Styela clava: one gene and its partner. The protein of the gene in region 1 interacts with the protein of each later gene in a pairwise test. Links are inferred from orthologs where the notes say so. Each region holds a gene or a part of one and is shown in the gene's direction. Other genes may lie near its edges. The genes, in order: peroxisomal membrane protein PEX16-like and peroxisomal biogenesis factor 3-like.

Evidence for each region.
Region 2: the proteins of peroxisomal membrane protein PEX16-like (region 1) and peroxisomal biogenesis factor 3-like interact in binary tests that used the Homo sapiens proteins (3 or more experiments, as listed by UniProt). The link is inferred for Styela clava from reciprocal best matches to the Homo sapiens genes PEX16 and PEX3.

The regions. Positions count from the first base shown.
Region 1 is NC_135252.1:3,113,013-3,130,416, forward strand, and holds the start of peroxisomal membrane protein PEX16-like, read left to right. Parts: upstream 1-9,967; 5' UTR 9,968-10,106; intron 10,107-10,759; 5' UTR 10,760-10,760; coding exon 10,761-10,892; intron 10,893-12,421; coding exon 12,422-12,506; intron 12,507-13,166; exon of another isoform or gene 13,167-13,675; coding exon of another isoform or gene 13,676-13,923; intron 13,924-16,319; coding exon of another isoform or gene 16,320-16,491; intron 16,492-16,631; coding exon of another isoform or gene 16,632-16,822; intron 16,823-17,404. Other genes in the region: CTD small phosphatase-like protein 2, read left to right, coding at 5,304-6,653; L-fucono-1,5-lactonase-like, read right to left, coding at 13,676-13,923, 16,320-16,491, 16,632-16,822. UniProt on the Homo sapiens protein: Required for peroxisome membrane biogenesis. May play a role in early stages of peroxisome assembly. Can recruit other peroxisomal proteins, such as PEX3 and PMP34, to de novo peroxisomes derived from the endoplasmic reticulum (ER).
Region 2 is NC_135263.1:8,798,387-8,814,512, forward strand, and holds peroxisomal biogenesis factor 3-like, read left to right. Parts: upstream 1-10,472; 5' UTR 10,473-10,570; coding exon 10,571-11,689; 3' UTR 11,690-11,837; downstream 11,838-16,126. Other genes in the region: succinyl-CoA:glutarate CoA-transferase-like, read left to right, coding at 12,047-13,264; guanine nucleotide-binding protein subunit gamma-like, read right to left, coding at 16,116-16,126. UniProt on the Homo sapiens protein: Involved in peroxisome biosynthesis and integrity. Assembles membrane vesicles before the matrix proteins are translocated. As a docking factor for PEX19, is necessary for the import of peroxisomal membrane proteins in the peroxisomes.

The DNA.
Region 1 (17,404 bases):
ACCCATCACGACTCCATTAATTTGTACATCCCAGCAGATGGAACCTAGAAGCCGTCGACTGGCAGATTACTCTTGATTCCGAATGCTCGGGAATCAGCCCAATACCTAGGGTACCAAAAACTTTATAATAAATAAATAAACAATAAAAACATAAATGACAAGCACAAATTACAGTTCAATGAAAGCAGAAACCTTTATACTCGATTGCTCTACAAAAAGAAATCAAATTATTACAAATCTAAATTTGCTTCTCACAAAGGCAACATCAAGGCAGTGTGGAAAACAATGAACTTATTGGTAAAAATAAAACAAATTCTTGTCCTTTGATTGGACTTGATTGCAGTAATACACAAATTGCAAATAAATTTAATGAACACTTTTCCCAAGTGGCACAAAGCTTGCTCGACTGTATGCCACAACCAGCTGGCTGTGACAAAAATTACATTTCATATCTTGGGAAGCAAGAATCCTCATCCATGTTCTTGAAGCCAACTACATCATTAGAAATAAAAAATATCATACGCGATATGAAGCCCAAGTCAAGTTTTGGAATCGATGGTATTCCATTCAAAATATTGAAATATGTTCCAGAACATATTATTGATATCCTGACATATATATTTAATCTTTCGCTATCTAGTGGGTTATTCATTGAAAGCTTCAAGACATCCAGAGAAATATTTATCTGTCAAATGTATTGTTATGCTGATTATGGAGTCGAAATAAACTTATACTTATACAGTGTTTCCATGAAGCAGGAGGGACTCATCTGTGACGTCTGTCGAAATTGGTTTCATCGCAAATGTTTCAATAATTCAGATGTGGCAATGACAAAGGAACAGTACAGGCTATTAAAAAAAAGGGGCGTAACGTTTGAGTGGAAGTGCCTGGACTGCTGCCAGGCCCATGACACCCATCATGACTTCAACCCGATTGTTGTATCCCAGCAGATGGAACCTAGCCGTCGGCTGGTAGACTACTCAGGTGGTGAGTTGGCTTACAACTAATATCAGTCGGCACTAAGTAGGGGAAGGTGGGGCACGTTGGGACATGGGGCACAGTGGAAAATCAGCTCTCACACTGATACTATATCCGCAATCCTGTCCGCGGTTCGATGTTTCAATCCGCCCTTCGGTGAGTTACAACGTCCCCGCGAACGGACAGGCAGCGCGGCGCAAGCTATGGGGTGAAATTGGTTTTGGGAGGTTGAAACTAAAATTTCATCATCCCAGTTTTTTCTTTTTCTACTTTAGCCTTTCCAACATGACAAAACAGCGTCAGATATTTTTCAGCTATAGTGCATTATAAAATATTCATAACGTTGGCGAGTCGATGTGCCTTCCGAATTCCGCCGTGGGATAGTCTGAAAATATTTGTTTCCTATGGGGAACAATGGACCGGGGTTCAGTGGGACATGTCCTACAGGGCACAATTCGACAGTGTTTGATACAATGGGTGCTTAGAGACCTAGAGATGCGGTATATTTTATGTAATATTAGGGTTTCTTTCGACCCATGGCCCAATATGGAATATATTCGAGAATCAATAATATTTCCAGATTTAGATCCGAGGAAGGAAATAATCAAATTTGTTTGCAAAATTTTTTGTCAAAATATCTGAACCTTCAGTTAAACATTGATTTTAAAAATATTATATCTTCAAATTTGAAGTCTCCCTGTTCTTTAGACGATTATGCTGAATAATTGCTTATTTTTAAGGCCACACTTCGTTGAATTTCGACAGACTGACCCATTGTGCCCCAGGGTCTGTCCGAATGTGCCCCACAAGTGGGGTACAGTGGGACTTTTGACAGACGTTTTTCGAAGCATTTTGGTAGTAAGATGTATGTCGCAGGGAAATTTCTTAGTCGCTGAATAAAAACTACATTTACCCCTCTATGCATTAGTTCCGCAAACTTAAGTGAATATGCAGAATTAACGGCTCAAAATATGCAAAAGAAAAAAGTGTCCCAACCTTCCCCACTTTCCCCTAAATGCTATACAACTCTTGAGTCTGCGTTTTGCAAAGCGATGTCTTCTCCTCGAGCATCGATATCGCAGAGCGAGCGACTGGTGAGTTGTCTGCCTCTCGTTGCTCGGTAGTCGAGTTGTCTTAACCTCGAGCATCGATGACGTCACGTCGCAGAGCGTTTGCTCGACTAGTGAGTTGACGGCCTGTCGGGCGACTGTCGTAGGCGAGTTTAGACTACTGCAACCATAGACTGAGCTCACATTCATAAATATTTAGGTGTTACTGTGAAGTATAAAGGTTTTAATATATTTAAAGGTGCTCATTCAAAACATTTAATACCAATAAAGTTCAAAAAATTAAACGAACACAGTCCTATAAGTCAGGTAGTTTCAATATCATAAAAACGCAATAACCTTCACGGGGAAGACTTCACCTAAGTCTTCGGTTGAGGGCGAAGCGCACTTTAGTTGATACTCCCGTAGTGGGTGTACCAGGTTGGGGTTAGGCCATAATTTTTTCCGATTTCCCTTGATTTGGTTATATTACGAGTTCGGGGACTGTTTGTGTTAACCAAGTGAATATCCCCCCTTCCCATAAGTTTCAGTCCCTTTACACAATTTGGTGTAAAGTAGACGAACAAAATTAGTTACCTCCATATTGGTGCACACACTTCTGGCGCTCCTTTTAGTTCTATTTATATGTATAGCTCGGGTACTACGGAGTCAGGCCACGAAATGATATTGAGACCGCCACGCAAAATACTTGAAGCGATATGATATGGCCAAATACAGGTAAATGGGGGAGCGATTCCGATAAGCCATGTTGGTTAATGTTCTGTGGTCGTTGCTGTGGTCGTTTTGACTGATACGTTGGCAATATTATCAAACCACGATTTAACGCAAATTGATAAAACAGCCAAAATTAGCACCACGGTGGGCTGGGATATTTTAGCGTTTGGTACATAATTTGAAATTAATCAAGATCAGGAGAATATGCAAGAAAAATCGACGCAAATAATTGATTTCTGTCAAATCCCATAGGAAATGCATTACGCGCCTTGTCAAAGTTGGAAGTCTATTGTCAAAACGAGAGAGGCTTCAAATTGTCCCGCGGAAATGAGAGAGAAGTTCCGTGTCCGATAACAAAACGATCCATTTCGGCCCAACAAAATGGCGACATCCGGTGGCGATTTTGTACATACAGGCATTTTCCGTCGGTTCGCTTTTAGTGCGTTTCCCTTGTTTTACGGATAAGTTAACTCTTACTGGTGCCATTGTACTATATGCTACCGTATCCGGTACCGGTATATTACATCTTTTAAATGTACGGTATGAGTGCAAGAATGGTTATCAGGTAATACCCAAAAATTTTATTTTGATCTATCGGAGACGGAAAAATTGGAAAAATAAGTTTATCATTTCTGCTGTTTTCGAGTTCACCAAATGATTATAAAGCACATCAGGGTTCTGTGATTACTACAGCACTAAGAATTTTTTTTGCTATTGGTCTAGAACTGGGTGGTCCAAGGTTCTGCCTCGGGGGCCACAAAATCATTTTTGCATTGTTCGCGGGTCGCAATAGTGCCAAGAATAGGTAAACAGTGCAATACAGAACAAACACTTTTATTGTGCAAACACATTGATCATTACTTGTCATTTATCAGGCTAAAACATGCGAAGACCACCAAGAAACTCTCTAAAACTTGCAAAAAGTATTTCTACCGTACCGGTACCGTACGGTACCGGTACTTGGCGGCGGTGTGGCGCATCTTGCTAAGCATTAGGAATACGCTCGCCACCGCATCTCTGATTACCCTTCGTGGTAGTCTATTGCAGGTTCGATCCCATGCGGGGATTATCATGTGCAAGAGGGTTTCTGGACTCCTCGCCGCCGTATGGGGGTTCACGTAACCGCTGGTCGGTTACGGCTTCCTCCACCATCAAGTCCATGCTTCCTCCCAAAACAAATACCTGGATACTAATCCCATACCCTACCTGGATTGGTAACCGGACGAGAGGCCGGGGTTCGCCATAATATAATCAAGCCGTCTTATCGACTTTCCTCTCCCCGGGATAAATATGTAAATCGTATCTTATCCTACTGTTCTAGGGGTACCGGTACTGTATATCTACATTTAGTTTGAGATTTCAAACTCTTTATAATGGAGAAAGTGCTTTCGAACATCGATGGGATTCTCAGAGCAAAATCGCTTTTCTTTAGAAAATGTTCATTGCTGCAAGATTCTAAAAGGCTGTTTTAGATTATATCTTTTGTCACCAACACAACTTGCCGACATATCAAGCAATCATTGTGGTATTTTCCCTCATATATCAGTATATCCAGTTAAAAATCAGTTTGAATTGGTCTGCTTTTTTTCAAACTCATGTTTACAAATAACCTCAATTTGACTTTTTCCAAATGTGAGGAGTGTAATTACATAGGCATCATCATGTCATGACAGACTGAGTTTTTCGTAACAGTGTAACTCCCTCTGCTCTTGTCAATTACTGTATTATGATCTGCGTATAAGACTATGATTCAATACTGCAATATCTGAATATGGTACTAAGCTTTGTATTTCTGTATTTCAACCAATAGTAGTATAGTTCTGTAGTTTATAAATTATTCCTGCACATCAGTATAAGATAATAATTTATTGTCTATCCACGATATATACCATACCGCAGTACAGCACACTATCCAAATTCCAAGAATTTCCCTCCATTTGGTTCAATAAAACAATCACTCAACGTGTCTCACAAACGAGGGGCGTCTGGACCACGTCAGATGCATCATATCGCGCCATGCTTGATTCAATAATAATCTTAATTAATCGCGGCCGTCACATGACCAAAATTGCTGTTTTTTGCTAAAAACTCTCGAATGCAACGGTAAAAATTTTTTTCCTTTGGTAAATCGGTTGATTTTTTCCCAAGAAATTCAACGATGACGATATTAGATTGCGCTTTTTTGTAGTATTTTGGGCCACTTCATTTTACTGTATTATCACCGATATTGAGGGACAACAATGTCCAGATGTCTCCCAAAGGAGGGGTGTCTGATCATCTGTAAAATGGGTTTCTCTGAAACGGGACAATGTCACCCGATTTGTATAGTGTGCCGTACTGTACCGGTACTGACCATACCTATCAAACATTCTGACATTGCATATAGTTATAGTGAGCGGGTTATATTCTGTAATAATATCTGTATACAGGTATACCAACTATGCTAACGTTATATCTTGCATGATGTTTAGATAAATATGAATTAAAAACAATTTTTAAATTAGTCCATATATTTTGTGTCAAACGTCTGCTTGAAAAGTTGAGATGCAGACAAGGCGGAAACGCTCAACTAGAGGGGCAACAAAGTCTGCCAAGCCCACTCCGAAACCCACCAAAGGAACTAAACGAAAACTACAAAATGGAAAAGCAAATGGTGATGCAACTCCTTTGCCAAAAAGATTAAGGCATGCTGGTACTTCGGAAGAAAAACCTGAAATTGATGCAATTTCTTCATCAGCAATTGATGAAGAAATTAAAAATAAAGAAACAAAATCTAAAGAAATTCAAACTGAAGTTTGTGGAAGTGATTTGGGATCATCTACCCAAGACAATGTTACTCCTAAATCAAAACGGAGAAGAAGAAAGTCTTCCACAAGGGGAAGGAAAAAAGCAAAGCGGAAACCCTCAATTTTGGGGACAATATTTTCTCCCGTTTATAAATTTTTTGGTCAGGCTGTAGATGAGGAAAGTGACAAGGATACAAGTTCCAGTTCAACCGAAGAACTAGAGGAACAAGTACCTGAGGTTTCCTCGACAACGGATGAGTTACCGAGCGTGGAAGAAGAACAAGTCGATTCTACATCCAAAAATGATGACAGTGGTATGTTGTCTGCATTAGAGGAGCCAACGTCAATTCCACCAACTGACATACAAGTTGATAATTCGAGTGAAGAGTCACAAGATTCTACGGTTGATCTATCCTATCTACAGCCTGCTGCTGTAACTTCTACAGCAAATTATGACCCAGATTGGGAAGTGTTTGATCCGTTCTATTTCATCAAGCATTTACCTCCATTGACTGACGAGCAAAAGTGCAGGCAACCTGCTTTGCCACTCAAAACAAGGAGTTCTCCTGAGCTGTCATTAGTGTTAGATTTGGATGAAACGTTAGTGCATTGCAGCCTTACGGAACTACATGATGCTGATTTGACCTTCTCTGTTCTATTTCAAGGCGTCATGTATCAAGTGTATGTTCGTACTCGGCCGGATTTCAATGAATTTCTCGAAAGAATGTCCAAGTTTTATGAGATTATATTGTTTACTGCATCGAAAAAAGTGTACGCCAACAAGCTGCTGAATATGCTAGATGGCGAAAAGAAGCTGGTGAAACACAGATTATTTAGAGAGCATTGTGTCTGTGTGCAGGGCAACTACATAAAGGATCTGAATATCTTAGGTCGAGATCTCAGCAAAACTGTTATCGTTGACAACTCACCACAAGCATTTGCTTACCAGTTATCAAATGGCATTCCTATATTAAGCTGGTTTTCGGACAAGGCTGATTGTGAACTGCTTAAATTAGCACCATTCCTTGAATCATTAGCTACAACTGGTGGAGATGTGCGGCCAAAAGTGAAGCAGAAATTTCGGCTTCATGAACTGTTGCCTCCTTAACATGAGCATGTATGTGTTTTGTCTGTTGATATGCTACAGACAGTTTTTTTGAGAGTGTACAAATTGCTCACTAATTCTAGTACCAAGATGGCCTGAGATTTAAAATAAACATTGACATTTTTTATATAATATAAAAGCATTCAGTTTTATATTGGAAATATTTTATGTACCAAACACACGGTTTTGTGTGAACTGATAAGGCTGTGATATATATTATTATGGACTTTCGCTGGAGCGACATTATGGTGAATAAGCGAGATTTTTTTTATATTCTTTTAAAGATTCTTTTACGTTGATTTTTATTAGTGAAAGAAATTCTACAAATTAGTTTTTTATTCATATTTTTATGTTTAATGAAACTATAATATGATGGCGTGTTCTTACACTATTGCCAATCTTTCCCTTTTAGCAGAGAAACGTTAGCAATATATTTTTAATATTATTTACCATATTATAATCGTCCACCGCACGTTCTTTAGTAATTCTCACTCGTTGCTTTAATTTGAACTTTTTCTTTATATTATTGCTGCCAAATTATGCTCCGGAGAGTTTTGTTGAGACTATGTATGTATATTTTACAAACAGCTGCACTGATGCCAGTTCTTATCCCAATTTTCTCACATTGTCAGATCTTACCAAACTAATGTGTACATAAAACCAAATTGGTAATTCGAACATAAAATTATCCTATTTATCACATTCTTGATTTGACTATAAAGTGGCATTCTATATGATAGCAAGCTGAAAAATTTTTTCAACATGCATGAAAGGACAGTATTCTGCCACCGCTGGGTATAAAATTTCATCATACATATCAAACTGTTGCATGTTTATCATTTTCTGTATTTAGTATGTCATAATTTTACCAGCAGATACTAGAAATAACAGACATGCGACATTACCAATAAATGATTGATATGGTAAATAAATAGTGTGCAGAAGTGCATAAAGGGAAGTATTTTTCCAATCATAAATAAATTGGTATTTGGATTGCATGTTTGAATTTTCCTCTTTTGAACTAGTACTTTCTATACCTGTCTATTTTTAATCATAGCTTTAAAAAATAGACAAAAAAAATGGTTTTCAGTATTCTGTGTGGCTGGAATTTAAGTTTTGTACATCATGTTGTTAAGGATAGTATTGCTTACCCAATGTTTTCGTATGAATTATTTTTTGCCATTTTTGTAAAATTATTGGCATCCGATTCCAATCGTCTACTGAATGCAACAAAATATCCGCACAAATTGGCTGTTTGATTCAATTTAGTCCGCTTTTGGTAGTTGGTTAATTGGGTTTACTGCCATACTTGATCTGACTTGTTTATCATAACCACTTATTCTGCTCCTTAACATGATTGGACTATCACTAATCAACTACAACCATGTTTTGAGTGTTCTCATAATTCAGTATATTTTGCATATTTTTTTTCATAAGTTTTTACAAGAAATGCTGTATAAAATGCTGCCTTGTGTTATATTAAGTAAGGTGTCAATAATAAATGCATTATTCAAACCTGTAATTAACAATTATACTACAAAACTAATTTTTTGTTTCTTATTTTTATATTCCATCATGTATAATGCAGAAATTGTTTCTGCCAATAGAAAAATTTGCATTACAGAGCAATGACGTTGGTTCGGTAATGCATTGGACATTTAATGATGTTTGTAGGATCATTTGATACTTGAACTAAACCCTGTCTTCTGTTTTGTTGTGTTGTGGACTTGCTTCTACAGATGATTTATTATTTGTTCATTTGAATTTATTGGAAATACAGTGGAAACTCTACTTATGAAATTAATTCGTTCTGGAAGCCATTTCGTAAACAGAAAATTTCCTAAGTAGGAATGCATTTTAACATATAAATGCCCTCATCCGTTCTAAGCCGCCCCAAAACTCGGACATAATATTTGTATAAATTATAAATACTAGTTAAAACATGTAACAATTACACGTTATAAAAATAAACACTAAAACACGATTTTTTCGCTAACAACTGAAACTGAGTGAGATGCATTTTACGTACTCACAGGAAACAAACGGGCTAATGGAATGGCAGGAAGTTGCTAAACATCAGCCAGTGGCACAGCAGCTCAGGTGTGCCACTTTCAAACTTTATGGCAAGCAGGACGTTTTTAAGATTTTCGGCCTTTCGTATATAGAAGCATCTTTCGTTATTCGGAGCAGTATTTCTACGAAAAGACGTTACAAAACTTTAAAATTTCATATTCATGGTTTACCGTGAGTGGAGGTTCTACTGTATATCTGCTACAAAATCAAGATATGTCAGATTTTGTATTCCTAATTTTGTTTGTTTATGTATCAGTTAGCAATTGAGAATATTAAAAGAGCAACATCACATATTCTTTATGAATATTTCATGTATATATCTCTGTCTCTCTTATCTCTGCCATAAAACATACTATAATGATTGTAAAATAGGAAAATCATTTTACTAACATTTCTGACAGAGTATAAGACGAGAAGGGCATAAATCGGATAAAAAACTGAAGTTGTTGACATCATTGTCTTGAGAAGGTTGATAAATTCTCACACGATCAAAACTCTAGCGAACCCCAAATTGTTTGGCTTGAATTTCGTTGCAAAAACGAAAGAGAGTTTACAGAAGAATCAGTAATTTGCTCATCTGATTTTCTGAAGTGAATTGGAGTGTTTTGATACACATTAATTATGAATTTGTTGATAAAACTTAATTTTTTGATTTGGCTAGATACTACCACCCGTGTATGTCAATTTTGTTTTTAGACTCTGTATATTATGCCAGGTTGATGTTTCAAACCAGGGGTCTCAATGTTAATTATTGACTTATATCATGACAATATGTGTTTGTATCTTTCACTGAAGTGTAAAAGATAATTTAAAAAACTTAGCTATTTAAGCTATTCTTTTTATATCAAATTTCTGTGTTTCGTTACCACTCGATTGTTAAATAGTTTAATTTCAAGCAGTTTGACATTTTCTTTTGATTTTTTGAAATGTGATTTCTATTTAGGCTTTAAAAGGTCCAAAACGATCATTTCTGTTAGTTTTAAAACATGTCATAATCTGTCATTTGTTTTAGAATGCTCATCAATTCGTAATTCCTAATTTTATTCTGTTCTGTTCATCTATGTTGCAAAATTATTGTGCACCAGTGTTCAGGGTTACAATTTCATGCATTTAATTGATGTTCATAACAATACTACTAGCATTTGGTTGTAAATTTGTTGGTATTAATGTTATGTTGTACTGGTTTATAAAAAGCTTTTTGTACATATATTGCTGAAAATTAATACCATTGTAATTCTTTCTGTAGATTTCTATCTATGTTTCTAGTATCTAGTTGTAATTTGAATTACAAAGAGCAGGGTACCACGACCAGTGCTCTTAATAACATATGACATTTTGACAATTTATGACATGAAACAGTTTTGAATACTCTTCACTCAAAAGGTATGAATGAGTTAGTTATAAATAGTCATATATCGTGTTTTCCCAAAAATAAGGCCTATCCTGCTTTTTAAAAATGATTTTATTATAAGCTCTCCCATAAAATGAGACCTAGTTGACAGCGCAAAATTTTTTTGACCTAGTCGATGGCAAGAAATCTCTTCTACACGTTTCAAATGATTAATAATCTATGTCCAGCAGTTATTCGAAATAAAAACGTGTTATTTATAAGTGGATGGATATCGGTTTGTATTTATGAAAATCTCGTAATTGTCTACTTTGTTATTTGGTTTTTGATAAATGAAAATAAAAAAAAAACCTCAAAATAAGCCCTAGTGTTATCTTTCGAAAGAAAATTGAAATAAGACCCAGTCTTAATTTTAGGGTAACATTCATTTTTAGTTGAAAAATGAATTTCTGGCTGGAGACTGACATGGGAGTTAAATGTACTCATTGAAAATTGATCAGTCTCATAAGAATCACACAACTTGTATTTTACATCATAATGTAACTTTTGTTTGCTTAAATTTTCTTATTTGTAGCTTATGTTGACTGGAATTTTAGAGTAGTGTATACCTAACTACTCCTCATTTCCCTCTTGCTATTGTGTTCTTGGATTTGTATGTCTTTATTCTTAATTTGATATTTTATTCCAGTATGACGGCTCCCGCTGAATCTTCTGTTGTAGAATTGATACGAAAAGGTTTGGGGTTTGTCAATCGTCCCTTCCAGGAGGCCAAAGAAAATTATGTCAAGTATGTCACTGAAAATCCAGAAATGATAACTCAAGTATGTATATATACCAAAAATTTTCCATTAAACTGGAGATACCAGTAGCGTATCTATTTTGGGAATTCCAGATACTGATGATAAAAAAAAAATATTTAATTCCATGTCATGCTCACTGGAGTAAGAATAAGATGTATTGAATTTAAATAATATGCGAATAGATATTGGTATGTTAAAGTCATTTCAGATTGGAAATGAATTATCACAGGGTTCTTGAACACTGTGATATGCTATATTATCAAAATCGATATTAAAATTTCAATCTTGCCGCAAGATTTTAGAATTCTGTTAATTTCGTTAAAATGTAATATCTACCGGTATGTTTTTTTGCTCCAGGGCATATATGAATATGCAAACTCATTCCTTTAATATTGAGAATATAAAGCAATGCTTTATATATAAATAATAAATAAATAATGCCTGAGTGCTTAAATTATCAGTAGTCAATGACTTTTGAAAATTTAATACTGAACTATTAATTATTTCACCCTTAGTGGGACTTTCAAAAAATATTGTAATCATTTTCTTGATGTTGAACCTTTTTAATTCACAAAATTACTATCACCAGGGGTTAGAATTGTTACAGCAAGCTTTCAATTTACCGTAAATAATAAGACTTTATTATGAATTCATTCTGTGAATAACAGTTTTTCTCCAATTTGTTTTAATGAAAGCTGTTAAGTCTTGATTTATAATTTCACATTGTACATTGTTGTTGCTTCAAACTACACATGACTCATTTATTAGTCATTGGCTTTTCCAAGTTCTGCTTTTTGTGTTTGTAAATTCAAATCAACTTGTTTGAATTTTTGACATTCACCAACTTTAATACAAGCATGTTCGGTTTCGGTTCAGTCTCACTTTGTTTATTCAAAGCATGAAATTGAATCAAATATTTCAGCTCAGTTCAGAAAGTGTATGTCCAATAAGCCGACTTGTCCACTTTCTTCCATGAAGATAATCATGATATCCATCCTGAAAAGATTTTGGTTTGTCTTATGCTGGCGATTTTACATGACCATAACTTCCAACATAGGCTGAGTTAATGGTTTACGGTAGTCCAGTGGTGGGCCAAATTTTTGACTAGGGCCATTCCAAGAAATCAACTGTGATGTCACAGTTACTATTCCAATTCTTTATAATACTGTCATGGTGGCTGACATTGTTGAACCGAAGATGTGAAAAAAACATTACCTAATTTTATTTTAACGAGACATAATTTAGATATTTTAAATAAAGTTTAAAAATAAATCTGAATTTTGTATGTAGTAAAAAATTTTCACAACTTTCTTCAAGAACAGAAGACCGCACAAAATTCTTCAGTGGGTTGCATATGCCCAGCGGGCCGTAGTTACTCATTCTGTTTCCCTTACTGACAGCTTCATTGAAGAACTTTTGTGGACTGACAGCACTGGCATTGGCTATTTACTTGTTTTAATGATCATTGGATTTTTCAAGTATTGATTCCAATTACTGCTATCTATAAATTCTGTGTTTGAGTGTATACTGACCTTTCATGTTATTTTTAGATTGAAAAGACTGCAAGGTCTCTTTCGTATGCACTTGAATTTATTCCAAGAGATTATGATAACTCCATATTCATAACTGAATTATGTAAGTATTTTTTATTACTTAACCCTTATAAGGATGATTGATGTTTTGTATCAACTATTTTGAGTGGTAGCTTAGTGAGTAGTTAGATTTTGAACAATTACTGTTTTGAGGCCGTGGATCGTTTCATTTTGGAAATCATGGATATTTGTGAAGCGATACTTATAAATGACACACATTTCAAATGCATTTCAAATTGCAGTATTCGAGTGGGTCAAGTCTATCCATATTTTTTATCACCCCTTTTCTCTTGCCTCTTCTTGCCTGTCCCTATTTTCTGATACTATTAATAGCCTACATATAAAAGACTACATCCGTGCTTGGATTATTTTTTATGAACATAGTTATAAATAATGCAATCCTACGATTACCTATCATTATGTTATAAATTTGTCTTCACTTTTACATACTAGATAAGGCACTCCTGGTCCTGTAGTATGTGTGCCAGGTTAGGCTTAGGCCATAATTTTATTCCGATTTTCCTTATTTTTCGTTCTATTACGAGTTCGGGGACTGTCTGTGTTAGCCAAGTGAATATACCCCCTACCCATAGGTTACAGTCCCTTTACACAACTTGATGTAAAATAGGCAAACAAAATTAGTTACCTCCATGTTTGGTACACCCACTACTGGAGCGCCCTGGATAATTATATAATATATGTATATATTTCTGTAATTTGATATTTATTGCAACATATTTGGAATTTAACGATTCAACATGATTGTTAAAAAGTATGATAAGCAAATTTTCAATAGCAATCAAGGAAAATTCTCTCAAGAATTACCAAACGATCAGTGTTCCCTCTAAGGTGTGCGCGCGCACACAGCTTTCAGAGGAAGCGCACACGCATAGATTTACTGCACACAGACGTATTTCAATGTAATGTAACATTGTGCTCGGTTGGCAGATTGAGAAAGTTTGTTGTTAGCCCATCATTACCCGGTTAGAACGCCAAAATTTCTTCATTGGTTTTTGCACAAATATTAGTCATTTCCAAAAAAGTGCGCACACACCAAAATTTCTGCGCACACATACTACAAAAAATTAGAGGGAACATTGCATACGATTCATACATACATTATTTTGATTCAACATTATCCAGAAAAATTCAGTCATCTTATTTTTGTTGTAGTAGTAGTACAATTGATTATGATAAGTAATCTTAGAAAATTTAGAGTTTCAAGTTGTATAATTCAATTGCATTGGTACGAAATATTTTCTTCTTTTGTTCTGTAAAGTCAGATAGTAGTTGATCTAACAAATTGTACACTGTATCTAGGTCTGCATTTGCCATCTTACACACTGGCCAATCTGAACCAAACATAACTCTGTCTGCTCCAAATTTGTCCATGACATGTTGAACATGGTTTTTGAAATCTTCAGGCTTCCAATTTTGCAAGTCGCCTTCAGTCACCATACCTGTAAATAATGAAATTTTATTTTTATTTTCATGAATATGTTTGGTAATATCGTAGTATGGATACCAGGTAGGGTTCGTTTGGCCATAATTTTATTCCGATATTCTGAGTTCGGGGACTGTTTGTGTTAGCCAAGTGAATATACCCCCTACCCATAGACATTCCGTCCCTTTACACAACTTAATGTAAAGTAGGCCAACAAAATTAGTTACCTCAAGATTGACGCATAAATCTGGAACGCCATATGGTTAGCCATTAGCTTTGTTCAAGGAATGTAATTATGTTAGCAAATATCCCTTTAAATGTTTATTGCATTGTCATGGTACCCTAACTAGTTAGTCCATTTTCTTATTCCACATTTCTAGCTGTGAATCCGAGAAACATATTTATGAAAATACTAATAATTTTTCTAAAAGAAAACCTTCAGTTTATATTATCACAGATGACCTTGACCTTAGCTGTTCAAAGTTACATCATCATATTACATTAGTATAAACCAACTTATTTCGGCTTAATAATATATCTTTTGCCTTGGGCAATATTTTCAAATTAGAAGATGACTCACAAATTTGAAAGTTTTGCTTGAGTGATTCTGTGTATATCAGGATTACTAGTTAGATCTGATACTCAAAAGACTAATTTTCTTTTACATCCAGAATTATTTTGGGTAAAAGTAAAAATGCACATAAAATATACATGGAAGGTGTAGGATTTTCATTAAATCCAACAAGAAGCATGTTTTGACAGAAATCAATCTTTTTAAAATACTTAGGAAATAACTGTTATTATTTTTTCGTAACTTTTGCAACTTGCTGCTTCTTAGGATTCTCTATATTTTCCTATGTATTCGTTAAATATAATGTCATGCATATATTAATAATTACAAGTACAACTTACTAGTAAACACATTCAAGAAAATAGGGGACAATGGGGTTCACATTTTTAAATCACCTAAGCCAGGCCTGCACAACTCAAATAACCACAAAGGCTGCAAGCATAAATCTGAAGGCCCGGCCGGCCGCAAACTTTGCCACATACATATTTCACAAGATGAACTACAAATCAAAATAATATGGTGAAACAGTTAAATTTAATGAAACACTTTCATTACTGGGGAGCTTAAAAATATGAAGAATCTTATTTACTTGAGTAAAAACAAGGTACAGTATTTTTGCACATGTGATGGCACATATGTATTTAGTGGTTCATCTACCTTGAAAACCCACCGATCATTTTCAATATTTCTTTTTTATTAGAATTAGGTAGCCTATTGTGTGTTGCAGTATAAACTGACTGCAAAAAAATATTTTACTTTAAAATATTTTACTTTTTGTAAAATTGTCCCAAATATCTGTATGACAATTTATTCAGTTGTATCTACCATTATTAGATATTTCCACTGTAGGCTAGACAAACAATCCATTAAGTAGCAATAGATTCCTCTGTTGTACTTTTTTGACTGTTAAATTACATTTTTCTGCAAAATCTGCTCCAATTTATTTGAAATTTTACAGTAAATAGCAATATCTTTTGTGCGAGAATTTCTGCACCATTCGTAAATGAAGGAATTGTTTTTTAAGTTCTAAATTTGAATCAAAAAAGAAACTTCAGTTTCTTAAACTGCTAGTAAAAAATAATGGGGTTATTAATAGGTTGCTAATATGCACTAATGGGTGTGAGATTGTATACCGATATTGTTTTAAGCGTGATTCAGTCTGAATACTGAGATATCTAAATCAGGGTTTCCCAAACTGGGGGGCGAGATGTCAAGAGACGAGTTTTAGGGGTCGTGAAAGGCACACCAGTTTCACACAAAGTTCGATATTTATTGAAACTGGTGCAAAACATAAATGTCACGATTTCGAATATGCTCGGGGTAGCGGCGCGCTTGCATAACAATGCTGGCTTTGATTGTTAGACCCGAAAAGTGGCGTGTTTCCAAATAACTCACGGGCCGCACAGAAGCTTGCATAACAATGCCGGCTTCGATTGTTAGACCCGAAAAGTGGCGTGTTACCAAATAACTCGCGGGCCGCACAGAAGTATCTAGCGGGCCGCATGTGGCGCGCGGGCCATATGTTGTGCAGGCCTGACCCAAGCCTTTATTAATTAAGAATAATAATCAAGATATATGCAATGTCAATTTTACTTTGATAATGTTGAATAAGTATGTTTATATCCTTCTTGTAATCATTAGTTTGTCGATATCCCTTATTTTTTAAATTCAATTTCAAGTCTTTTAAATAAACTAAGTTTGCTTTCACTCAAATTGTTGTGAAGTCTGAGGGAAAAATATGAAGCGTGTTGCAGACTTGTGTTTCTAGATTCTGAATATTTGTGAATATGGCATAAAATATTTTAAACAAAATCCAACTTATTAGACTGGTTCAACTTTACCTGACAATTTGCAATGAACATTATTATGTTCTGCAAGGGCCGACATTCCCTCATACCAAGCCTTTGAAGCTCCTGTTTTTGCATTAGGTTTTGCTAGGTGATTGATATTGAATTTTGTAGCTGGATTTTTTCGTACAAGACTGAGAGCATCTTGGAAATTTTCTTCCTTGATCTGTTATTTGGAATAATTGTGTATTTTTCATGTAGTATATCAATTACAAATTTTCTTGATACTTGCAGAAGTGAAATAATGGAAGGCTCTGTGTATTCAGGTCACCGCATACCTACATGCAAATTATATTGTCTTCTTACCAGTAAATCGTAAACAAGATCATATTTCTTTATCACTTTCATTCCTTCCGATGTTCGTTCTTGTCCCAAATATCCTTCTACTTCATCAGGAATTATGTTGCGAACTCCGACAAATTTTCGATCTTTCGTAAATTCAGCCAGTTCTTTGTCAAGTAAATCTGGATTGTTGATATGGGCATAGCCAACAATACCTAAAGGAAATATCAGGCAAACTTACAAAAGTGTGTACCAATATTAACCTTCTGTTGATTATGATAGGGCTGTCAACTGGCGGACTGTCCGAGTAATTTACTTACTGCATCTGATTCTTTATTTTGGATTATTGTCCTAATTAACTTTAGATATTTGAATGTTTCCATTAATTAAATTATTGTTATTTATAGTTTTGAAGGATTTTTTTATCGTTTGTTCCAACTTGCATTTCATAACTGTCAATATTTTAGAAGAATTTGACCATAGAAGAACAATTTGAACAGCACTTATCAAATAACCACTAGGATCTGCTAGGATACTACAATGCGAGTTAAATATGCAGAATTTTTTGGCGGTTGCTCAGTTTTTATGTTAACTCTCTGATCTCAAAAGTTAGAGGCACTAAGGCATAGTTATGCACACTGTAAAATTTAATTTTTGAAAAGACCAGACGTCAGTAAATTTGAAGTTTTGTATACCACTCTTTGGTTGGTAAAGCTAGTTGAGTAGCCCTGGTTTTTAGCATTTGTAGATTCTTCTTTGTTATATACATCACATTTGAATGTCGTTTAATAACATGC
Region 2 (16,126 bases), on another chromosome or scaffold:
GAAAAGTGGATGAGACAAAACAGAGTGATTTGTGAAGGGTTTGTTAACATATGTCTGTATGTAGTATTTAAATGGATTGTTTATTTGAAAAACTTCATAATACACATAAATTAGAAATGCATTTATTCAACGACAGCCGCTAATACTGTACTGTACTGTAATATGGGTATGGCAGTCTTGCATTAGCTTACTGGGTTTAGGGCAGTAGGGAAATTCAGTAGACCCTGTCGAGCGACAACCGCCCGCCGCTATCAAGCGCGAATGTCAGTCCGGCATGTATCAATGCGACTAAATAGTAAATACCGAAACGAGCGGAAGAATACATAGGTGTAATAGTAGCGGTATATAGGGCAGTATACATTTATCATTAAAACAAAAAGACAATCAACATAGATAGAACTTAAGGTAGGGTACCTCTCAATCTGCAGATCTGTCAAATTAACAAAACGGTTGCTCTACTATCTGACTGTGCTCAATACTTCTGAACAAATCCACGTTTGATAGCAACGAATAGAGAACATCCTAATATGCTGATATGATGATTCGATTATCTACATACATAAAGCGGAGCTGCCCGTATAATTTTATTAACGGCGTTAAAAGAGTCAATTTACAATTGTACATTGATTACCTCAAAACAGATACGAGCGAAATTTAGGTTCTCTGGCACCACCATATGGGTAGAGTATAACCGTAAATATATACTACTACGGATAACAACAGACAGTGAATCTACAACTTCACTTGTTGGTCCATCAATCGATCAATCAATCCACATCTTAATCTTATCGAAGATATTAAAAGCATTGATAAAACGTCTCGATATATTTATTTATGATAAGCTTTGTAATGAAAAAATTTTGCCACCAACTGAAAAAATAGAAAAATGGTCAAAAGAATTGAGCAGGAACTTAGATAATTGGTTGACATTGTATGAAAAAGTTTTTTATTGCTCTATTGTATCCAGACTTCGTTCATTTCATGTCAAATTTGCCTTGCGAGCAGTGCCCACTTATGACCTGCTATATAGAATAAGTAAAACACAAAGTCCAAAATGTACATTTTGTAATATGCATGTTGAAACTGTGTTACTTTTATTGGACACGTTTAGTGGACATAACGATCGTTTCAAAATTTTGTTGTTATTGTTATTTGTCTCCATCATTTTTATAAAATCGCTTTTATCCTCGAATACTGAACCAATTGCTTTGAAATTTTCAGTGGTTAAAGATAAAATTTTTCTCCAGAAGGCTATTACTTTTTTTCGCTATGACGTCATCAAAATTATTGCCATTGGGTGGCGCTACGTGTCCATATATTTGAGCATAGCTCTCTTGTTTTATCTCTGTGAATTTGTGCAGCAATTTTGGGAAATAGTTAACGCTTGGCCAACCGTTGAGTATGGATTAAACTTCAATTTGACACATAGAGAAATGTTATTGGGTGTAGGGCAAAACCAGGGTATAAACTGTGTTTTATTATGTGCCAGATATTTTATATACAAATGCAAACTGCGTAATGAAAGGCCTCAATTTTGCCAATTTTTATATATAATAAAAAATATTATAAACTGTGAAAAGACTATCGCAACTTAAAATGGTAAACTGTCAATCCATAATAAGAAGTGGAAAACTATTATGTGCTCGTTTTTTTAAAATGCAAATGTATTAGTGCTATTGTGTCTATATAAATGTGTTGTGTTATAATGTGATGTTCACTTGTTGGTTAGATATATTGTAAAGGAATACTTTTATATATGGAAGGAAGATTGGGGGTGGGGCAAAACCAAGGTAAAAACTGCGATTTATTATGCGCGAGACATTTGATTTACAAATGTAAACTTATAGTAATTAAAGGCCTTAATTTTGTCCATTTTTATATACGGGGTGACAAATTTATGGGTACCGTTTTTGGGTCACCCTGTATGATAAAAAATATTATTAATTTTGAAGCAATTACTTCAACTAGAGATGGTAAGTTGTCAGTCTATGTGGAAAGTGGAAAATTGTCTTAATCTCTTTTTTTTCAAGTTCAGTTGTATTTATGTGTTATTGTGTTCATGAAAAGTGATTGTTTACCGACGACGTTGTTCATGTTGTTGGGACGACTCTTTTATTGCGAAAGAATCATTTTTCTTCATAACTAATAGAAATGGCTAGAAGGCTCTTACTTCTATTTTTCAATTTCCTATGAGATCCTATATTTCACCTCAAATTTTGTTATTTTATTATAATTTCAGGGATCAATTTCACATCTCCTTATTTATTTCCGCAACAATGACCAATCAGCACTAAGTTGACAATGGCGTAACAATTACAATTTGTACAGTCGCTCAGACACTTCTTTCATTGAAGCAGATATCAAGCATGGTTGTAAACATTAATTCATTTTTGCGTGTTATGATTCAGTTTTCAGCTGTGTTTAGAAAAATTTGATGGAAATCAAATAGCTTAACTGTCATTTTTTTTTTTAAAGAGCTTCAGTTCATTTTCAATAGCCAAAAATTAGAGACCAACCAACCACGGCCAAGAATGGGTGTATTTAAAACAGATGTATGAACGTGCATGACGAAGGCACCCGTTGGTGGCGAATGGTCGGGTTCGGCACAGGGGTCACCAAACTACGCCCCGCGGGCCAGATCCGGCCCTTGGCGTCCTTTCATCTGGTCCGCGATAACACGAAAAATGGCGAAAATTTTTCTACGGCAGGGGATGATTCGCCGAGCATCGACTTCCTCGTTAATTTTGTAACATTGGCCAATCAGCGAGATGTTAAAAGTGACGTAACAATAGGCATTTTTGCATCCGCTCAGACATTTTTGTCACTCAGAGTTAGATTTTCAGCCGTGGTTGTAAACAATACTTCGTTTTCGCAATTTAAAATGCTAGCTTATTTGTTAGGTTTTGGTTGTGTTTCGGAAATTTAGGTATGAATCAAATAAGTCAATCATCATTTGGCCTTCTTAGGAGTTGTAGTTTAATTGCAGTAACCAGTAATCAAAAATTAGTCTGGAAATAGCTGTGATAAAATAGGCAACGCAACGATCACACAACGTTTTCTGCGCAGGATGCACTCGTGACGCGTGCTTTCGGCGAAATTGTTGCTGTGTACGTTTCTTTTGCTAAAATGAACGTCGAACGTGCATTTTGCGCTAATAGTAGGCTACTGTAATCGCTCAGTATTGCCCCAATTTCACAAGTCACATTAATTAACTTTTGTAGGCCCTACTGCTTTCATGCGGATATATTCATGACCGCAATTGATTTGCTAACAGCTAACCTCAGGATAGTTGTCTGGTACGGTATAGCCCAGTGGTTGCCAACCGCCGGTCCGCGGTTGGTTTATCACGCAATTTCTCTTCGTCGTCATATTGCTGTTTGATAGGTGCGGTATGGCCGGGCGACGTCTTGGCGCCGAGTAATCACACTTTTCGCTTTTTAGGACAGGATAGGATTTACATATTTATCCCGGGGGAGAGGAAAGCCGATAAGACGGCTTATCCATTTGGCGAACCACGGCCTCTCGTCCGGTTACCATTCCAAGTCGGGTATGGGATTGGTTTTACTGTATCGTTTTGTTTTCAGAAGCATGGACTTGGTGGTGGAGGAAGCCGTAACCGACCAGCGGTTACGTGAACCACCCAACGACGGCGAGGAGTCCAGCAATCCTCTCGCACATAACCATCCCTGCATGGGATTCGAACCTGCGAACCCACGCAGAGTAATTAGAGGTGCGGTGGCGAGCGTATTCCTAACGCTTAGCCCGTTGAGCCACTCCGCCGCGCCTTTTCTCGCAAGATTCAGAAACCTGAAAATCAGCATGCGTGCTTTTTCCGTTCTGCATGCTTTTCTTGATTAATATTACCATCCAAATAAAAATATTTCTTTGTTTAAACCATAAAAACTTTCAAGAACATTATAATATACCAGGGCTTCACTATATGACACCCAGCGAGATATGAACTTGTTGCGACCCTGCAGCAGAGCCATTATATAACGGCTCTGCCTGCAGGTGGTCACGAGACGCGCAACAAAAGCGGGGGCCGCTAAGATATTTTTTGGGTGATGCACAGCAGGATTTTGAGCCTGATGGTGTCAAGTTAGCAACGACTTTATCATTGTAATATAAATTAATTTTGTTTGGGTGAACGATCAACTGCAGAGGGATTGATATGGTGAAACCTCTACTTTACAGTCCAGATTTATAAAAGAATCATTATCACAATTAATTTTTGAGCTCTCTTGATATCGAATACCCATCGCTGAGTAATCGAGCAATCAAACTGTTGTCCGCATTTTCAACCAGTTGCTTTTACCTTTAAAAAAGAAGCAAATAAATTGACTGTGGGCCGCTGCAGAGCTATGTGTTGCAAAACCTTTTTTTTTGATGCCTCGCTTGCAATCCTGTATTGGAAATGAAACAGTAGCAAAATTCTCACTGGAGTTAATTGTGTTTGTAGCCTACATCATAGGTTCTCAAAGTGCTCCGTACGGAGCCCCAGGGCTCCGCGAGAGAAACCCAGGGGCTCCGCGAGCTATTCGATTACTCTTCGAAATACTGACTCAAAATTTTGTAACTGTTGAAAGAAGCAATAACAGCGTTGATAAAATCTGACAACAATACAGCCTCGAAATATGGTAAAGAGGCTGAATTAAAAATGACATTATTTATGAGCAGGAGCGCAGCCAGGATTCTTAAGAGGGAGGTGGTTCAAAATTGGAATCGGAAATTTCCGCGCAACATTCTTCGCCATTAAAAAAACGGATAACGAGATTTCTGTTGCTTAAATATACAATCCATGACCGATGCGAGCATTCAACGTGTCTCTTCGTTATAATGTAATTGTGATCATCGTTACTCAAGTTTGATTCGAGATTAGTATTAGTATTACTTAAATGAAAGAATACTATTCTAAAATAACATAAAATATGTAATAAACTGCCAACAATAAATAAAGTGGAGTCGTATTTTCGCGATCTTGGGATTTGTCAAACTTGATTTGTTCTTTCGCACCTGAGATTATTTTTAAGCAGGATATCGCCGTTTAAAAAATCACAATGTCTGGGCAAAATACGAACAATTAGAATTTATTTTATTGCATTCGGCTCCGTCGGTAGTTTCAGAATGAAAAAAGGTACATCGTGGACTGTGTTTCGATTTCGCAGTCACTACGACGAAAACCTAACATAACACCAAATTTTGTGATTTACAATGTCTATAAAAGCGTTTTCAATCTGAGGTGAGTCTGCTGAAGCCAAACGTGTGATCTTCCATTTAAAGTTTCAGTTTTAATATTTTAGAATGCCGTTTTTTAATCAAGAAATTTGAGTTGCGGATTTATCTCTTTATTAATTATAATTTTTAACATTTCGTCGCAGATGACTATTATATGGTAACATGTTTTTCACATTGAACTCATAATTTCCCACGAGAACAAAAAAGGAATTAACGTCGTCATTGTGTAACAATACATGTATATGCCGAGGGAAATTTTTGATTTAAGGAGAATAAACACCGGCGTAAAGATGTTCAAAACACGCCATGCTGACGAAAAAAATCGGCGATTGTAACAAAATAAAATCGCGCACGTTATTAGCGGCCTGTTAAGTCTTCCAAAAATGTCAAAAGAGAAAAGATTCGACCCCTAATTTATTAATATGTTCGTCAAGTGTCAAATTTACAGCTTTAGTATGAAATTCAGATTCATTTATGGCTTGTGTTAATCCTATTAAAAAAGGTTCAGCATTTTAAATAAGTAAAGTACTTTTAACTTGCCCAGGAATATTAATCTGAAAGTAACAATTTTAACATTTATTTTGGGGCTCCGCGAATAATATTCAACTTTTCAAGGGCTCCGCAACACCAAAAGTTTGAGAACCCCTGGCCTACATGATTTGGCATTTAAATGTTCTTTATGTGAGATGTGTGCCTTGTTTACGCATAATGGGTGCCCAGCACTGCATTTTATTACGCAATACATATGTTATTATTTATATTCCACCCATTTCGATTTTTGACCGACACATTATATGATAGGTTTTCCTCATGTGAAATGTTTTTAAGTGTACCTTTTTTTTCTAAAATCATAGTGATTGCACGACTTTACGCAAATATATGTAATTATTTTCTGTTCTAGGCCTACTCATTTAAATTTTTGCCGGTCCGCGACGAGTACATTTCATTTAATTTTACCGGTCCGCCAGGGTAGAAGGTTGGGAACCACTGGTACAGCCTATTTGTTTTGTTATGATGTTCTTGGTCCATATTCTGCGATATAGAATTAAATATCCAATACTTCAGAAATGTAGAATTTATATTGTTGAATACCATTTCCCCACTTTTGTGAATTTATTGTATTGCATTGACAAAAATACCGTATTTGTCCGGCTCGTTTCAACACAGTTTGAGCGTAAATATGGTTTGAGCAATGACATTAAACAACATGATAGGCAACTCTGACGTCACTCCATAAGACTACAGGCAAAACATTGTATTTCATGATACGCTCCAATGCACATATTTCTCGTCGCCTTTCGCGTCCGTTTTCCGCTCGCTTTTGCTACTCGGCGTCTTTTTTACGTGTAGTACCTGCCTTTTTGCGCCTGTAACGAAACAAAATAATCTCTATATCTAAGAAGTTTTGCTTACTTGGAAAGCTGGAATAACAGGCAAGCTGTAAAGAGCAATTCTGGACATCATAGACTTTTTTTTTTATCAGAAAAGATTACAAACGCGATAGCGGAAAGATTTGTGTGGAACATTTTGCAGATAATGACAAAGTTCAAAGTTAGTAATTTTAATGTTTGCGCTTAATCATTGAAATTTCATTTAAAGAGGGTGTCATACAAAACTGTGCTGCGATACAATTCCATAACACAAAGTTTGCACCTATCGAACTTGCTTTTGTAGGTGAATTTATTAGACATATTACATATTCAGTTAATCGTAGGTAACATTGCTGGTACATAATGCATCGTAGATAGGTTTGTTTAAATTTAGGAATTTAGCTCATAGCCCACTAATTAATATTATCTTCTATGCAGGAGGTTGCAGGGCTGAAATCAACTTGCAGCCTTACCGATCACCTGACGATGCTCATTTAGTTTGGCTCGAGCAAGTCTTCTTGAAATGCTTGTGTGAATGGAAACTACCTATATTTTTTGCCTTCCTCCGATTTTAGACAAATTTATTCTGAGGGATTTCGCATATAATTCTCACTGATTGTTGGCTGTTTATAATTCCTATTGATTGTGAATTCTGATTATAACAATGAGTTGAAACCTTTTTCTTGTCAATACTCCAAGCTGAGGTAATAAACATGACAATACATTTATGTCATCTGGAAGCAAAATATGCACGCAAATTAATAGTTTGGCACATTGAGATAATACATCATGACAGAAAATACAAGTTAAAGATATGTATGACCATCACATGGTAATTAAAATTAAAAAAAATTAATAGGGGCTGTGGAGTATGGAAAGTTCAAGACAAAGAAAAGAACAAATGTTCATAGCTCATGAACTCTCAATTTTGCCTCCATTGCTGTGTGAAGGCCAATATATTTCGAGTGGCTGAATTGGTTTACCTCTATGATAGCAACGATTTTGTATTTAATATAGCGAGATTATTTCAATTTAATTGAAGTGATATAATTTCCCAAAGCAATGCTTGAATCGTCTGGAATAGATCAGTGGTGTCAAACTCATGGGTTTTCGAGAGCCGCATTGCATTTTGAAAATTGTAAAAAGAGCCGCAAACAGTTTTTGATAATGTATACTTAAAAGATATTTTTAAGATAGTTTTAGTTTGTGACATATATTGTGATGCAACTAAACAGTTGGATTAAGTTTTATTATTTTCTTCAATTTCAAATGCAATTACATATTAATATTTGCATTCGACTATTATTGCAACATTTGCAAGTTACAGTATTTATTATAAAAAATCGTAAAATTCTATGTACAACCATCAAAATCATTTTTGAACAAGCTTTGAATAAGGAAAGAATAATACATACACTAAAAATAACTTAATCTAAATATGTGAACCTAAAATTAACAAAAATACCACAGTATAAACTCGATGTTTTAATAATTACATTCGTCCTGGCGTTTGGCATCTTTTTTGTGTCACCAGCATACTAAGGCCAGTCTGAAATGATTTTATAGTACCAACTCTAACTAACGAGGCCACATGATCATGGGTTTATCTGGATCTTTACGAATGTTTAATTAATTCCAGTAATGCAAAAAAGTTACTTTTATCATTTCATGTATAGATCAGTAAAAAAACAAATGACAGATTTTTTCGACAAGACATTTCGCACTACATTGCGTGGCATAGGATTGCTTGAATTATTATGGATATTGATTTTTAGTAACTAAGTCGTTGTATAATTATATTAATATACAAACACATGGAAATTTTCTGTTCGAAGTTGGTCTTCGAATTTGTCATATTGACTGCTGAGCTTATTGTGTTTTTTGATTGTATTGATGGAAATATGACAAATTAAACAATGTGCTTCAGAATTTTGTGAAGAGCAGAAATGTTACAACTCCCATTTTCTTCGAAAATGCCACCTTCTTCGTGTACTTTGCGTTTAATTTAATTACTCAAGTGTTTTATTCAAGTATTCTTTTGCTAGCTTGATGTGTATTCTTAATTGGGTCAAAATGTGGACAAAAAAAAATTAATATTCCAAAACTACTTTCAGTAAATTGTTTTCTGTGTGAATAATCAATTTCACTTTAGAAGGTTTGAAAAATCTATTACATTTAGATAAAAAAAAAAACTTCCAAAATACTATTACAATTATTGTTAAGCGTTCGAGGGCCGCACTGGAAGTTCTCTGGGGCCGCGAGTTTGAGATCCCTGGTCTAGATTGAAGTTGTTCAAAAAATATATTATAGTATTTTATCATGAATGATGATTATACCCCTTTCGGAATTTCTTCTATAGTACTACCAAAAGTTGATGAACCAAATATAACACAGGTGCAGTGAGGTACCCGTAATCCTTATTTCCAAAGCTGTTTTAAGTATGTCTGGCGTGTTTTGTGCCTTTTTACAAATAAGACCGCTTATGCAATCTTACGCTTTGGAATTTTTAGTTATTTTCCTCAAGCCCTGCAGGATGTGGGGGCCATACACAACTCTACCGGATGGTCAAATGTCTTTGCATGCCTCCATAGGTTGTTTTTCTATTGCAATTTTCTATTTTCAATTGCATTATATTTCTTGGAATCACACTGTCACTGATATGTCGCCAGACTTCTGATATCTCCACGTCTGCTATAGTTGTCCTGTGAATAAATAATAGGAAATTGAGATTAGACGAATAGTTGAAAGTTTTGCTTTATGTCGGCTTAATTTCTTGATTGATATACTTACTATTTCTGCTATTGCCTCTTGTGCTGCAAGAGTCTCACAATGCTTAGACAGGTTTGTCCACAACTTTCACATCTGAAGAAAGAGAGGAGATTTATTAATTTTCGTTAAGAATAAATAAAGCAGTCTATATGATTCAGAATGGAAAAGCTAATAAATCCAATATTTCATGTTTTATTTAAAAAATATTTTACTGAATTTTGGAAAATAAACCAACTAATAAAAGGGTTTAGTCAGAAAATTACAAGCATTCGTGGCTCCAAATACTTGAGAAATCAGACTATACAATATAGACCGGTATGAGTGAAATGTTAGGTGAACTTGTTAACACTTTGATTAAATACGCAAATAAAAGTGAATGCGTAATAGTATGTTACAATGAGCAGCAATCAACAATGAGTATATATCCTCACTGATTAAAAAAATCTAACTGGAGGTGCATGAACTATTTGAAACCATAAGGAGTAAGTAAATATGTAATTTCGGCAAATGGGCAACTACGTACCGTACTGAATTAATAACTTCGTAGTATTTGACAAAGGCTAGCTTTCCCACATGTACTTAACAGTGCGATGCCCGGGTGTGATATACAACAATAGTATTCACCTTACCTTTTACCGATTTCTTTTTACCCCAACTTTCAAAAATATCATTAAAATCGACAACAACTGTCAAAGCAGGCACGAACACCATTCGTGCTACGCCTTGAAAGCAGCACACATCCGCTCGTTTTCGTCTCGTCAAGTATGTGCATTGGAGCGTGCTATCGAATACGATCTTCGGACAAAAATGCCGGAGTTGCGCATCATGTTGTTTAATGTCATTGGTTTGAGTCATACCGTAGTAGTATATATTTACGGTCATACCGATAGTCCGATACCTGACCCTCGGACAAAAAAAATTTGGTGACCCCTGGGTTGAGGTATCGATAGTTGGAAGGTATCACAGACCTTCATTCATGACATTCGCAGGCCACATTGGTCATAAAGTGGTAGCGTGTTGTTTAGAATTCTTAGTCAATACGCCAATATTGGTACGGTACCGTACAGACAGACGTAGATACGATACAGATCCACTCTTGCATACCAGTTTTGAATTACCTTGTCTTCCTATTTCAGTACCGGTATTTTATTTATTTCGTATAAATCTATCCTGCAATAAAACAATATAAGGGAAATATGGATATGCCTGGACGGATTTGCGGCTTCCTTCGCAGACATCGCCGTAAATTCATATTTGCTGGAGTACTCGTTGGAGGAGTTGTAGGAACTGTGAAATATGCACAATATAAAATTAAAGATTGGATGGTGCAAGAAGAAAAGAGATATTTGGAGGAACTAAGAAAACAACAGCATTTTGAAAAAACTCAAGAACATTGTTTTGCCATTGCCCAGGCTGTAGCGAACACGCTAAAAGATAATATACTGCAACAAATTGATACTGAAGCAATTCTAGATTCATTGAAGACTGAAGTTTCTGCAGAGAGAAAACTTGAACTCTGGAATGAACTTAAAGTGGTTGTATTTGCAAAAGTGTCAATTTCCATTTACATCTTGACTCTTTCAATTGTTATAATTCGCTTACAGCTTAATCATCTTGCTGCAAAAGTTTACGCCAGTACTCTTACAGACCAGTCACCACCTATCAATGATGTTATCCAACGATGGTTCTTATCAATTTCTCATGAATTTGTGTTGGGTAATGGACTTGAATGTATTATTAATGAATTTACAAAAATTTCACAAGATTTGACAGAATCTATGCCTCTTCAATGTAGAGTTCGAGGTGCAGATATTGAATCAGTCTTAAAAAGCATTCATAATCAAATTAGGCAACATGGTAGTTTTTCATTCCACGTCAAAAGCTCTGAAAATGATTCAAATAATATACTTGATCTTTTGTTACCTAATGAAGCAAATGTAAATTTTGGGGCCTCTGTTGATCTTGATTTACAAAGACAATTAATCAATGAAATGTGGGATATATTTGACTCTAATGACTGCATGCAAGTCTTTGAAAGTTGCATTTTCAAATCCTTCCAAGAATTTTGCAAAATAATTGATGGTTCTATCATTGATTCCTTGGGTACTCACAGCAAAGCGTTGGTGAGTGATATCACTCCAATCATTCGTACTAACTCAGACTTTCTTCCATTGGCCAAAGTATTGCCAATGCTAAATTCTCATGTACATGCAATTTCACATGAAAATTTTATTCGTAAAGTGTTGACGAATCCCATGCTCACGAAGTTTTCTGCCAATATATATCAGTCTTTTACAGATACTATCAGTTGTTGAATATGTGACCAATATCATAACACTGATGACTAACTACAACATATAAACAAAATTTTTTTTTTGTATTTTTTTCCATGACTCTCTTATTAAAGGTCAGGATGCTCATTATCTGTTTTTAAGTTTAAACAGAGAATTTGAATATAAGAATATCATATGTTTTTTATAGGGTGTTCTGCTTTTTTATGCTATGTAATTACTTTCTCATTGATAGAATTATGAAAAATCATTTAACTAGACAATTTAATACAAGAAAATTATTTTATGAATATAAATTATAGAATGTTTTGATTTTCAAAAAAAAATTTAATTTGTTTCTATTTCAACAGATGACAGTTTGTGCAATAAAAATAGCTAATCATGACAATACTTGAAAAGACAAGTTCACTCCTGTCAGGAATCAGGGTCATAGATTTGTCCAGAGTCTTAGCTGGACCTTTCATGACTATGGTCCTCGGAGACATGGGAGCCGATGTCATCAAAATTGAAAAACCCATAGATGGCGATGATACAAGATCATGGGGGCCACCGTTCTGTGGAAATGAGAGCGCTTACTTTCTTTCAGTCAATAGAAATAAGCGCTCTGTTGTTGTAGACTTGAAACGTAAAGAAGGTGTCAAAATAATCACAGACCTTGTAAAAGATAGTGATGTATTTGTGGAGAATTATGTGCCTGGGAAAATGGACAAAATCGGTCTTGGGTATGATAAGTTGAAGAAAATTAATCCAGGTTTAGTGTATTGTTCAATCAGTGGTTTCGGTCCAGAAGGACCATACGCCCATCGTCCTGGTTATGATGTTATAGCTGCATCTTATGGTGGCCTGAATTATATTACTGGACCAGAGGATGGTGAGCCTTGTAAATCTGGGGTGGCAATGACTGATCTGTGTACTGGTTTATATGGCCAAGGGGCTATTCTTGCTGCTTTAATGAAAAGAAGGGAGACTGGTTTGGGACAAAAAATTGATTGTGATTTATTGTCATCTCAAATTGCTACTTTAGTCAATATCTCATCAAGCTATCTGAATGCTGGAATTGAAGCAAAAAGATGGGGAACGGCTCATGCATCTATTGTACCCTATCAATCTTTTAAAACAAAAGATGGTAAATATGTCACTGTTGGTGCAACAACTAATAAACAGTTCAATGATCTATGTGATAAAATGAAGCTTGAGCATGTTTCGACTGATCCAAGGTTTGCTGATAATGCAAAAAGGGTTAGGAATCGAGAATCCTTGCTTCCTATTTTGAAGAAATCATTTTTAGATAAAGACTGTGAAGATTGGTTGTTTATATTTGAAGACAGTACTTTTCCCTATGGACCAGTCAACAATATGGAACAGGTGTTTTCAGATCCTCATGTGTTACACACAAACAGAGTGTTAGAATTTGACCACCCAACTGCAGGAAAAGGATGCAAAGTCACTGCTCCAGCAGTCAAGTTTAGCAACTATGAATATCCAAAAATTCTGCCTCCACCTACACTAGGACAGCACACAAAAGAAGTATTACGTGATCTCCTGGACATGTCTGAATTTGAGATTGACAAATTAACAAGAAATGGTGTTGTGACCTAAAAAACCTTCCTAGAAAATCGCTATAGGTAAAAAATATCGTGCATTCACTCCAAAAAAGCTACTTTAAATTATTTTATGATGAAAAAAATTTTGACTTCCAACTTCAGCTCCAAACTCCAAGAAAATCAAATTTTGATCCCATTTGTCTATGGAGATATCAGTAAATTCTAATGCTTTAAACTTATTATCGCTGTTAAAAATGGAATTTACGACTCGGGCTCCAGGAGTTTTAAACTACCACTTCATAGCCCTGCTTTTGTCTTCCTATGCCATTGTTATCCGGGCCAAATATACTCGTTAACTTTTTTTCTTCAAATATTGCAATTTTATAATTTTTTCTAATAATTCACTGTGCGATGATATGAAAAAATGCTTGTTTTTCAAAGGAAACTTGTCATTGTGACTTTCAGCTTCATAATCACGCTTTTCCTTTTTAGAAGGACTAGCAAGCGCATGTGCAAATTTTAGTAATTTATTTAATGCTTAATATGCAATTGATTTGTTTTAATTGATGCAATTAATTTCTCTTGCTACCTCCAATGAAAAAAAAATTGAGCATTGGAACTAATATATATTTTTAAATTATATTTGTCGATCATTTTTGGTTCGGCGAGGTCGATCCAGGATAAAATAAATTCGGTGCCAACTGCCAACGTACCTACTTGACCTACTACGTCATACTTTCACGCTTCAAGGACGGGTTGAACGTCAATAATTCGACCAAATATGCGTCCAGGGTTGCCATATTGGCTTTTTTAACGCCAAATTTGCCATTTTTGGCTTTTTTCAAACGCGTTTGGCGTCAGAATTTCCGTTTGGCTTTTTGGCGTTTTTTTTGGCTTTTTTCAAGTCTATTCTAGTGTCTATGAAATAAAATATTTAGTGTGTAACAACTGAACAATAGTCTATTACCTGTACTTAGCTACTTAACATTAGGATTTCCTGGAGCATCGATTCCCTTGTTTGTTACATTGACTCTTAACCATACCCAATAAGAAATAATTGCAGTTTCTGCAGCTGCTCAAACAGATGTTCAAGCAGGATTGTAAACATTGCCTCGTTTTTACAGTTTTGCGTGTTATTTGTCAGTTTTACGTTCTGTTTCCAAAAAATAGTTGTATAACTTAATTTTCATTATGCCTGATATGGTTTATGTGAGCTTCAGTTTAATTCTGCAATTGCAGTAACGATGTGATTAACTACGCTAAAATTACTGAATAAGATATCAGTGAGCGGCAGGGGGTTAGATAATTTTTTAATAAAATTGATGGTTTATAACTTTTGAAAGTGAAAAAATTTTCAATAGTAGAGTACGATATAGAGAGAATTTTTTAAGGTATATCACAAGTTTAAGTAGAAACATGTAGGTATATTACATACTGACAGACTGAAGCGGCACTCTGTATTGTATATATTGAATGGTAAAATAGTGCTGTTCGCTTGATATTTGTTTTACTTTCTGCAGTTGTATAGGAACTTTACTTTCCATTCGTGTGCCTCACTGAATGAACTAATGGCTCTATATCATCATCAGTACATTGCCAAGGGCTTAAAATCTGACAAATCATGGGGCTTTTGTACTTAGTAAAATTGTTGGCTTTTTCTGGCTTTTTTTATGTCTTGATTTGGCTTTTTTTGATCGCTGGGGTCTGGCAACCCTGTATGCGTCTTTACATTTGCCAAGTGTTTAAATAGCTGTTATACTGATATATATAATCAGGCCACGATATAGAGTTCTGCAATAAGTGAGTAATATTTAAGCCAACAAAAATTTACAGTTTAAACATGGTCTCATAGCACGAAAGCTGAGATGAAAATACAAGTGCAATGGAAAAAGTATTCTGGGGAACAGTTATATATATATATAAGAAAATGTTACGGTACCGGTAATTATTTTCAGGGTACCACGTACAAATACATTTGCAAAATTTGTAACCTGTTAACAAGATATAGTCGGGTACAAATACATATTCAAAATTTAAAACTCCGTATTACTACAGACGATTCTTCATAATAACATTATTCCACATGGGCAATATGAAAACCAATGCAGTACATGGGCCTCCTCGTAAGAGGGCTGTTTGAACACAAAGGGAGTATTATGAGCTGCTGCGTCACAATTTTTGCCACTCGCCGAATCGCGCAATACTTTCAAGTGCTACAAAAATACATTCATGTAAAATTATCCAGAACTATGGTGGAATCAACGCTATGAGTAAAGTCTAGTCTGGTGTCACACCAATTTCCACTCTGGTCGACGTCTGCTTTTTCATCTTCACAGATATAATATTTGAAACCAGAATAATGTTGACGGAGTGACGACGTAAATACAAAAGTTTTCTTACATATTTTAAAACACACTTTTCTACAGCACTCGATACGGAAACAGTGACACTCTGATGCAAAGGCCTAACTCTAATAGACATATGTTGGGGCAAACTGCAGGGATTGTGAATACTTGCAGTTTATATTTGGTTTGGGAACTCTTCCACGCCAAAAAATGTGTGAAGATCAACATAATATGTGCTAATGTCCCATAGTGAATCATGGATGATAAATAAATAACTCGTTGCATTCTGGTGCACTCATATAGCTTCAAAAAGTCAGGAAAATTTCATGAATGCGTACTACATGTTCAAAATTTCAAATATGGGTTCGTCAGGTATATGACGACATCAATTCACATATTGAATCAGCCAATGTCATTACAAATTCAGGTAGGTTCGTACGATGCATGATATATTTTGAGTTTATAAACTTATAAAATCTTTAGCTTGAATGATGAATTAAAATGTACGTGCAAGCGTCTTTTCCAATAACTTGTTGATAGGTGGTTCAGTAAGAAAAAATATCACATGACTG